Canis lupus familiaris: one gene and its partner. The protein of the gene in region 2 interacts with the protein of the main gene of each other region in a biochemical or structural test. Links are inferred from orthologs where the notes say so. Each region holds a gene or a part of one and is shown on either strand. Other genes may lie near its edges.

Region 1 (5,899 bases), on a different chromosome or scaffold from region 2:
TGGGGATCACACATCCTGAGCCGAGGCAGATGCTCAACCACTGAGCCACCCAGGCATCCCCCTGTTCAAGCCTTTTGTCCATTTTTCTGTTGCATAGTTTGTCTTGATTTGTTTTGTAGGAGCATTTTAATATATTCTGGATGCCATTTCTGTGGTGTGTTATTACAAACTCCATTCTGTGAGTCTGTAATCTTTTTAACTCTAGTAATGGTATTTTCTGATGAACAGAAATTCTTAATTTTGATGGTATTACAGCTTCTCAATCATTTTCTTTATATGGCGAGGCCATTCTTTGTCTTTAGGAATACCTTTCCTATTCTGAGGTCATGAATGTACCTTCCTATATATTTTCTAAGCATTTTAGCTTTGATTTTCATATTAGGTCATTTAATTGTGTTTTTTTTTTTTTGTTTTTTTTTTTTGTGCTTGGCATCAAAGACCCAAAGTGTGTTTTTGTTTTTGCTTTTTTAAAAATCTTGTCCCAATTCCATGTAATGAAAGTCAGCTTTTTTTTTTTTTTTTTAAGATTTTGTTTATTTCTTTGGAGGGGGAACAAGTAAGGAGGAGGGGCAAAGGGAGAGAGAGAAGCAGACGTCCCACTGAACAGGGGTCCAATGCCAGGCTCCATCCCAAGACCCTGGGATCATGACCTGAACTGAAGGCAGATGCTTAACTGAGCCACCCAGGTGCCCCTGAAAGTCCGTCTTTTCTCCACTGTTCATATATCAGGTGTTTGAGGATGCATGGGTCTGTTTCTGTGCTGACTATTCTGTTCTTTTGGTCCACTAGTTTATAACTTTTCCATAAAGGTCTTGTTAGAAATTTGTTAGCATTGTTCCTAGATACCATATACCTTTTGTTGCTGTTGTGAATGGTATCTTATTTAAGTCACATTTTGTAATTTTTTTTTTTGTTGTTGTTGGTGGTGATTTACAGAAATAGCATGGATTTTTTTTTATATATAACAATGTTTATATTCAGTAACTTTACTGGACCTTATCAATGCCAGTAGTCTATAGATTCTTTTGATTCTTCCACAGATATTTTCTTGGGGGCGGTTTTCTCTTTGTGTACTGCTCTTGATGCCTCTTAGGCTGTTTGTTCTTCATAAATAATGGTTATAACAACAAAAATTAACATTTATCGAGCACTTACTGGGTGTCTGGTACTGTTGCAGATGGTTTTACATGTGTATGTGTATGAATTTCTGACTTCATCAATATTGGTAGCCATTCTGGTTTCCCTCAGCAATTGTGAGGGTCATTATTTCATATACTGCAACTAGCCCTCTGCTGCGAGTAACGGGATTCTGTAGTGTAGATTCTATCTGTAGAATGAGATGAGGAGATGCTTTGTAGGATTCAAGAAATGTCTTTTCAGCATATGTAATAACGTAAAGAAAAGAACTCTAATTAGAATAAATATACTAGAGAAGCCTTGTGGCTATGAAAGTTGTGTGGCACCACATCAGGTTTCTTAGGTCCTATTTCTTCCACCTCATCGCTGTTGAGACCCTGTGGTTTCTATCAACAGATGCATCACTTTGCTTAAAAGAGAAGTATTATAGGTACTGTTAGCATAGGAACTAAAATGTTTCACCTTTTACTGTGTGGAGAGTTTAGGCGCTGACCTAGCTTTTGCAGTTTTAAAATAAATCTGCCAAGCTTATATCATTGATTGCTACCTCAGCCTTTGCCCAATCTCTGAGTTTGAGCTTTTCAGGACTCTGTTACCAGGGAAAACTGATGTATTGCCTTCTTTATGACTGTGCTTTTCACTTATTGGATTATAGATTTTACATTCTGATTTTTCCCTTAATATAATTGTAATTATATTAATTCTTTAAGATTCAAGGGATTCCTCAGATTTGCTTTGACCCTCCTCTGTGTTTCATGACTGCTGTGAACTTTTCTAATATTTATATTCTGTCCTTTCAGTGGGATTTGGTGAGGAGACTATGTCAGTGTTTGGATTCAGTTGGCTGTCTTGAACTATAAATTGTAGTTTGTTTAATATTCCAGAATATTTCAGATTTTTTAAATGACAAATGAATGTAATTAGTCAATATAAGGTTTTAGGATTAAATATATTATATTGGGTCTCTGCCATTTAATATTTGAGTTATCTTAAACAACTTTCTTAACTATTAAAACGATTGATTCCTCATCTGTGAAATGAAAATAATGGGAATAATTTACCTATCTTAGTGGTTTGTTGTAAATATTATTTGAGATAATATATGTAAAGCTCTTAGCACAGAACCTGGTACACAGTAAGTGCTCATAAAAATGTTATTTATTAGATTTTGAATATCCAAAGTAACTATTTCGACAATAAGTAGCTTTTTCTGAGAATCCTTTCTTTTTTTTTTTTTTTTAAGATTTTTATTTATTTATGATAGTCACACAGAGAGAGAGAGAGAGAGAGAGAGAGGCAGAGACATAGGCAGAGGGAGAAGCAGGCTCCATGCACCGGGAGCCCGACGTGGGATTCGATCCCGGGTCTCCAGGATCGCACCCTGGGCCAAAGGCAGGCGCTAAACCGCTGCGCCACCCAGGGATCCCTCTGAGAATCCTTTCAAAGAGAGATTAATAAATGGATGCTAAAATTAACAAGGCAGGAAACAACAAATGTTGGAGAGGATGCGGAGAAAAGGGAACCCTCTTACACTGTTGGTGGGAATGTGAACTGGTGCAGCCACTCTGGAAAACTGTGTGGAGGTTCCTCAAACAGTTAAAAATATACCTGCCCTACGACCCAGCAATTGCACTGCTGGGGATTTACCCCAAAGATACAGATGCAATGAAACGCCGGGACACCTGCACCCCGATGTTTATAGCAGCAATGGCCACGATAGCCAAACTGTGGAAGGAGCCTCGGTGTCCAACGAAAGATGAATGGATAAAGAAGATGTGGTTTATGTATACAATGGAATATTACTCAGCTATTAGAAATGACAAATACCCACCATTTGCTTCAACATGGATGGAACTGGAGGGTATTATGCTGAGTGAAGTAAGTCAGTCGGTGAAGGACAAACATTATATGTTCTCATTCATTTGGGGAATATAATAGTGAAGGGGAATATAAGGGAAGGGAGAGGAGATGTGTGGGAGATATCAGAAAGGGAGACAGAACGTAAAGACTGCTAACTCTGGGAAACGAACTGGGGGTGGTGGAAGGGGAGAAGGGCGGGGGGTGGGAGTGAATGGGTGACGGGCACTGGGAGTTATTCTGTATGTTAGTAAATTGAACACCAATAAAAATAAATTAAAAAAAAAGTTAACAGGGTGAAAGACCTATACACTGAAAACTACAAAATATTGTTGAAAGAAATTTTAAAAGACACAAATAAATGGAAAGATATCCTGTGGGGGGGGGGGAATAAATGGATGCTAAGCTACTGGCTATACAGGTATCAAAACTCTGAACACATCGTCGCCCACTAAATGTAGGTTAGGACTAAGACATGTGGAACTAGTAAATCTGTCCTGTAATATTTTTCTCCTAGGATTTGTTTGATGGTTGTAATATAATTACATTATTTATAAAGTTAATTTATTAATATGTTGATGAAGGAATTAACACAAGTTCTTTTCAAATAGCTTTCAAAATGTTTTTAAATTTTATCCTATGCTAATTCAAGTTTTAACATGCTAATTGTGGACATGTTGCCATTTTTATTCTGATACAATATTAATGTTTATATCTGGAAGAGTAAAATATTTTATTTCTTATTACAGCAGAATGGCCAAAGACAATGACAGGTCTTCCCAGCACGTCAGGGACAACTGCCAGTGTGGTCATCATACGGGGCATGAAGATGTATGTAGCTCACGTAGGTGACTCAGGGGTGGTTCTTGGAATTCAGGATGACCCGAAGGATGATTTTGTCAGAGCTGTGGAGGTGACACAGGACCATAAACCAGAACTTCCCAAGGAAAGAGAACGAATCGAAGGACTTGGTGGGAGGTAATCATTGTGCTGTTTTGTCTTTCCTATCTTGGTTCTATTTAGTTCTTTTCTGCTTTACTAACCAGATTGACCAGTTACTCCTTTTTGATTAATTTCTCAGTATTATAAGTTTTTAATTTGCCTGATGAAGTACCCATCTGCATTCATATTTATCTTGTTAGTTTGAGTTGACTGTTTTCTGATAATAGATCCAGAGGGAAATAATATTTTCATGGGAGTCAAATAAAACACACAAAGATTTATTGATCACCTTTTACATAAATACTGATCATCATGACATTCGGAATCTGGACAGAGTAGCTGTTAGTGTTCCAGAGTAGAACAATTTGAATCTGGCTTTGGGAATAGAATTTTGTTACAATTAATCTTAAGCAGGACGCCTGGATGGCTCAGCGGTTGAGCGTCTGCCTTTGGTCAGGTCCTGATCCCAGGAACCGAGAGATCGAGTCCCACATCAGGGCTCCTTGCAGGGAGCCTGCTTCTCCCTCTGCCTATGTCTCTGCCTCTTTCTCTCTCTATCTCTCTCTCTGTCTCTCATGAATAAATAAATAAAAATCTTTAATAATAAAAAAATTAATCTTAAGGTTTTTTTTCTTTGATTTCTAAGTTAGATATGCTGCAAACCTTTCTTACTATTTTCTTTCTTTTTTTTTTTTGAAAGATTTTATTTATTTATTCATGAAAGACACACAGAGAGAGGCAGAGACATAAGCAGAGGGAGAAGCAGACTCCTTAGGGGGAGCCTGCCGTAGGGCTTTATCCCAGGACTCTGGGAGTATGCCCTTGAGCCACAGGCTCATGCTCAACCACTGAACCACCCAGGCATCCCTCTTACTGTTTTCTTTTGTCTGTTTCAACTTATTGTCTTAATGTGTAATTTGTAAGCTATAAACTAAAAGTGGCTTCAGTATATTTTATGATGCAAACTAAAATGTAAGATTATTGTAAAAATCAGAGGAATGAGTAACATGAGAACATTTTATTTATTTATTTATTATTTATTTATTTATCATGAGAAAATTCAGAAATTATCCCAATACTAAGTTTTAGAAGTTGAAGGAATGAGGCAAGTTAAATAGAATCCAGTATTTTCTAAATAGTTCTTCTAACTAAAGCCTTACCATGATATTATTGCTTGCCTCATTTTTCTTCTATTAAATCAAAATAGACTTTTTCAGAGTATTAGTAAACTAACTGGGGTAAAGAATTTGCATCCTTAACACTGCCACCCCCAGATAGTGAATAAAGAGAGGACTTTGAACAATAATAAAAATGCAAAAGAGTAAAAAAAAAAAAAAAAAAAAAAAGCAAAAGAATAGCAAACATTTGAAAAAAAATTATTGATTTTTTTAAAAGATTTTGTTTATTTATTCATGAGAGATTGAGGCAGAGACATAGGCAGAGGGAGAGGCATGCTTCCTAAAGGGAGCCCATTGCGGGACTCCATCCCAGGACCCCAGGATCATGACCTGAGCCTCACAAGCAGACGCTCAACCAGTAAGCCACCCAGTGCCCCGCAAAAAAAAATTATTAAAATGAAACTGTTTCCTGCTGTTGGGTTAGCAAAATTTTTAAAAAAGAGAAATACTTCTCAATATTTTTGTTGAAATGGGAATCCTGTTGGTAGGATTATAAATTAGTGTGAACAATATAGAATATAATTTATACCCACTAGCTTCAAATGTTTACAGACTCAGTAATTTCAGGAATGTACTCTAAAGAAATATGAAATGTGGACCAGAATATCGGAACAGTGATTATAGCAATGTTTAATGACTGTTAAAGGCTGGAAATACTTGAAGGCCCAACAACTCAAGAATGCTTAAGTATATAATAATATACAAGGAACCTGATGCGGGACTCAATCCTGGACCCTGGATAATGCTCTGAGCCGAAGGCAGGCGCTCAACTGCTGAGCCACCCA
Region 2 (5,001 bases):
CATGTTTCACCTGTGGAGGGGTGGGGACTTGAGTTGGGAGATTTCTCATATTAATGCTCTTTATTCAGTAGTAACTCATTCTTGAGTGTATGGACAGGACCCACTCAGGTCTGGGCCCCTGCCTCTGTGTGTTGTATCTTCAGAGGTCCCTGTGTCTGAGGGACAGAGGGTGTTAAGAGTCTGTGGGTCACAGGGAGAACTTCTCATTGCAGGAGGGAGGCTGCAGTGTGCCAGTGGCAGTGCATACAGCTATGAAGGATGGGCAAGTAAGCAGGGGAAGATGGGTGGGAGGGTAGGCAAGGGAGCACGGTGACATGTGTCCCTGTGCATCTCGCCTTGCCCACAAGAGCCTGGGTTTTCATCTAAGCAGCTCTTTCAGAATATGCCAAGGTAACTGTTTTCTTTGCCAGCTGTACCTGACTGGAGGAGTCTGGAGTCTAGACGGCTCAGATAGCATGCAAGAGACCATGCAGGCCACCATCCACATCACAGCCCAGGTGCCAAAGCTGGAGGGTGAGGGAATGAGGAACAAACCCGCATGTTACCTCTTTGGTGCTCACCCAGTCCCACCTCCTTCCCTCACCTAGCATGAAGATGGCCCCGAGGATGATCCGCAGCTGGTGGGGATAACTGCCCGGAACATTCCACGAGAAGCCCAGCTGGCTGCTGAGAACCTGGGCATCAGCCTGGCCAGTTTGCTGCTGAACAAAGGAGCCAAGAACATACTGGATGTTGCACGGCAGCTTAATGATGCCCACTAACTGCTCTGTGGGGCACCGGTGTCTGGGTGGCTATTGTCCAGTGCCTACCTCCCAGCCCTCAGTGCCCCATCCTCACTGCTGACTGAGGTGATCACCCCAGGGAGTTGAACTGCAAGGTCAGAGACTTGCCTCACCTTGAGGCTGTGAAGAGTGCCTTGCTGCCGCAGTAGGCGGAGGTTTCATCTCTTTAGAGAAAGTTCAAGCCACGGCCTTTGAATGTAACCAACTCAACTAATAAACCAGCTCTGAAGGTGACTTTGTTTTTGGTGGGGTTGCAGGAAAGAGGACACAAAACCTTGTGCTCTCTACTTCCGAGGCTGGGACCTCTGTGCAAAGTTCTCCTGGAACATTCTTTGTTCCTGCCACAGCCGTTCTCATTTCCAACAACAAATGGCCTCCCAGTTAAGTGGGGGAGAAGCCTAGGACTTGTCCCTGCCCAGCTAGCCCGTGTGTATGCCCCACAGGCGGGCCATCGGTCCGAGTCCCCCTGACCCCCACTCCCTCAGTACACCTCCCGCCTACAGAGTCGTGGGTGTTACAGCTCGTACAGAATGACAACAGACACCGCGTTTTTAAAAAAACAATCCTTTAATAAACAAAATTAGTCCATCTGAAACTCCTCAATCTGTAGGGTCCTAGTCTTGGATGGGGATAGCTGCAAAATTCCAGTTCCGAAGCTGTCGGAGGCTCAGTGCAGATGGGGACGGTCGGGCCGGTGCTGGTACGGAGGTGCGAGGCCCGCGGAGCGGTCGCCGGAGAGAGCGGGCCGGGCGGCGGGGTTCGCGGGCGCGCGCCTCCTGCAGTCCCGGGGCCCGCGGGGCGCACCGCCCCTCCCCCCCTGGTGGCAGGTCCCCGCGGACGCGTTCGGCCCGAGCCGAGGGGGCGGCAGGGCGGACAGTGACGGGTCGTCCCCGCACCGCGGCGTCCGGAGAGTCCCGGCCCGGCCCGGCCCCGGCGCGTACCTCAGCCCTGCGTCAGCGCGCCGAGCGGCTCTTCCAGGCGGCGCCGCGGCCTCCCCGCGGCCCTCCCCGCGGCCCTCAGCGCGGCCCGGGCGGCTGAGTCACTGGCGCCGCGGCGGGCAGCGGCGCGCCCCCGGCCCCCTCCGGGCCCCTGCGCCGGGCGAGCGGGCGGCCCTCCGGCCGGGAGGCGGCGGGAGCGAGGGCAGGCGAGCCCGCGCGGGGGAGGGGCGGGCCGGGCGGCGGCGGCGGCGGTGACGACGCGGCGGGGGGGAGCCGAGCGCCGCGGCCGCCCGCCCCGAGCCCGACGTGGCTCAGCTCTTTCCGTGAGGGCGGTGGTGGCCCTTAAAAGGGCCTTTGTGGTGGCATGGGGGCCGGCTGCGGCGCGGGCGCCCCTCAGTACTCCTGAGAGGCCTGCGTGGCCTTCTTGCCGCCCGCAGGCGCCTTCGGCCCCACGGTGGCGCTGGTCTTCTTGGGCAGCAGCACGGCCTGGATGTTGGGCAGGACGCCTCCCTGCGCGATCGTCACGCCGCCCAGCAGCTTGTTGAGCTCCTCGTCGTTGCGGATGGCCAGCTGCAGGTGGCGGGGGATGATGCGCGTCTTCTTGTTGTCGCGGGCCGCGTTGCCCGCCAGCTCCAGGATCTCGGCCGTCAGGTACTCGAGCACGGCCGCCAGGTACACCGGCGCGCCGGCGCCCACCCGCTCGGCGTAGTGGCCCTTCCGCAGCAGCCGGTGCACGCGGCCCACGGGGAACTGGAGGCCGGCGCGCGACGAGCGCGACTTGGCCTTGGCGCGGGCCTTGCCGCCGGTCTTGCCGCGGCCCGACATGCTGCGCGAGGTAGAAGAGCTGTGAAGAGGGACGCCTCGAAGGGGGCAACGAACAGCCGCCCGCCGCAGTCCAACTGCTGCCGCGCGCGCCCAGGGGCCGGCCTTATAAGCCCCCAGGGCACACCTCCGCGCCCTCCTGATTGGCTCTCTCCTCGGGTACCCGCCTCCGGTTGGTTGCAGTTAACCCTTCAGTGACGCGCCACGGCCGAGGCAGCGCGCCCGCCGATTGGTCCGATTTGAAAACCTTTTGCCCGGGGAAAAAGGCGAGGAGGAGTGGTAGCACGCAGCCGGCCAACCCCTCCCCGATGTAGCCAATCCTTGCGAAGGGCGCCAGATTTAAACGCTACAGCTGGAGCCCAGAACCGGAAGGCAAAGAGGGTGGAGTCTGGGCCACCTCGAGGGCCTCTGGGAAACCGGTGCGGGCCCGGGATTTTTAAAGGAACGGGGTCGACACCACTCCCTTCCCTTCCTGGTCTGGTCATTCTTCTCTCCTTTCTCCCTCCTCCCATCCTGCAGAGGGAAATGAGAGAGGGAAGAAATGGGAACCCCTCCCGCTGCTCCCCCTAAAAACTTCTGTTCGGCACCAGAGAACAGGCAAGTCCAATCTTAGGGCTCTCCCTGCCACCTGAAGTATGAGGATTTCAGGGCTTATTCAACATGTTCTATTTGGTCTGTTCTTTCTGTTGACTTCTTGTTACAAGGAGCCCACTGTGCTGAAAGAAAAAAGATGGGCAGAGGGATAGGCATCCTCTTGGAGGAGGTACCTCCACCAATCCTCCCGATCTACCCTAAAATGCCCAAAATATACTTACAGGAACACCAAGAAAAAGACAACACTTTATTGTCACCACTGGGAGCACCTGGCCCCCCAATCTGCTCTTACGAATCAGAATACTTAATTTATGGTCAAATAATCAAGTGATCTTCGAGCCTGTGTCCCTCTCCCCAGCCAGGGTTCTATCCCCAGGCCCAACATATTCCTCGAGAGTCCGAGTGGTGGATAACTGCATAAAAAGCACAGTATCCCACTTTGGGAGGCCGCAGGGATGGGATAGAGAGGGAGAGCAGCAAGTTGAAGAAAGCCACAGGCAAAGTCCAATCAACAGTCAGTACAGGGCAAGACAGGCCCAGGATGTCGATCACAGCGGAACGGAATCGCTAAGTACAAAATCTGGAGAAAAGTAAGAGGTGAGAGAGGCCTGGGCCCGGAAGCTTGCCTGGCCCAGAAAGAGGCAGGCCTGAGTCAGGAACCCTGCAGACTATGCAGTGAAGGGCAAGGATTGGGGGACTCAGACATCGTAGAAGAGCCGGACAAGCTGGTACCGGATGGAGAAGGTGACAGCACTGCCAAGGATCTGTGAGGAGAAAGAAACACACCAGAGTCAGAGCCATGGAGAAAGGGAGACCAGAGCCAGCAAAGCCCTTCCCTGACCACACCTGGAGCAGCAGCAGGAGCAGAGTCAGGTTTCTCTCATGCATGGGCCCGAGAACCTTAAGGAGCAAGTTGAGGAGCGTCATGTTGTTACACTCCGTGAAGGCACCATCCTCATTCTCACTCTGGTGCACTGTCACTAGCTGCAGGCTCGCTGCTACCTGGAGGGGCCAGAGGTGGAGAGAACTTCAACTCTGCTTCAGCAATGGGGGATCTGCTTCATGCTTCCAGGCTCCCCTTGGATCTGATGCAAGCCGAGGGTCCCCAGGCCCTGAATTCCGGATGGTGGCCTAGAGCCTTACCTCCTTGTTACCCTGTTACCTTTAGAATAAAGTTGCCCAAGAAAGAGAGGCTCTTGGTCTTGAACTTGGAATAGCTCATCTCCAGTTTGCCTGTCTTGGTATTGAGTCTGCAGGGGGAAGAGAGCTTTATGTGACTGGGCCACTACTCCAAGAACTCTCCACACTGCGGTCAATTAATAGGAAGAGTACCGAAAGTGGAATCAGACAACCTGAAGATCTGTTTCCGGCTCTGCTTACCACTGTGTGATCAGAGCTGATCAGATTATGTGGGTGAATGTGCTCTGTCATTTATAAGGGCTAATTGCACGGAAAGAGCCCTCCTTTGGGCCCATTCCCCTTACACAGCAGATGCAGAAGGCTGGCTTTATGCATCCCAAGTGAAAAAGCTAAGATGTCCCTTTTAAGCCCCAAAGTGGCTACCTGGGAATGCGGTGGCGAGGGCAGGGTATGATATGCAGGAGCTGAGGCAGTGAGTAGAGGAAGTTGAACACCTGGGGCATGAAGAAGAGTAGCATGGTCTTGCTGAAGTGTCCCAAGATGCCCACCACGGCAAAGGTCATGCCAGCAAAGTAACAGAAGGTATCTCCCACAAACACCCGTGATGGGTACCTGTGTGGGGGAGAGGATCTGAGCCAGGAGGCACTATCAGTCTTTTCTCTCATATTACACGCCCTGAACCCTGGACTAGCCCTGACTCTAGTCCTGGCCCGGAGGAAACTCCA

What was found. The genes of interacting proteins can lie anywhere in the genome.
Region 1: of the proteins of H2AX (region 2) and PPM1D, one has a biochemical effect on the other in vitro, tested with the Homo sapiens proteins (3 studies listed by BioGRID and IntAct). The link is inferred for Canis lupus familiaris from reciprocal best matches to the Homo sapiens genes H2AX and PPM1D.

What each region holds. Positions count from the first base shown.
Region 1 is NC_049230.1:35,860,538-35,866,436, reverse strand, and holds part of PPM1D (protein phosphatase 1D), read left to right. Parts: intron 1-3,743; coding exon 3,744-3,972; intron 3,973-5,899. UniProt on the Homo sapiens protein: Involved in the negative regulation of p53 expression. Required for the relief of p53-dependent checkpoint mediated cell cycle arrest.
Region 2 is NC_049226.1:14,789,446-14,794,446, reverse strand, and holds H2AX (histone H2AX), read right to left. Parts: upstream 2,649-5,001; 5' UTR 2,546-2,648; coding exon 2,114-2,545; 3' UTR 1,957-2,113; downstream 1-1,956. Other genes in the region: HMBS (porphobilinogen deaminase), read left to right, coding at 213-266, 411-497, 588-761; DPAGT1 (UDP-N-acetylglucosamine--dolichyl-phosphate N-acetylglucosaminephosphotransferase), read right to left, coding at 3,835-3,900, 3,983-4,138, 4,299-4,386, 4,700-4,888. UniProt on the Homo sapiens protein: Variant histone H2A which replaces conventional H2A in a subset of nucleosomes. Nucleosomes wrap and compact DNA into chromatin, limiting DNA accessibility to the cellular machineries which require DNA as a template.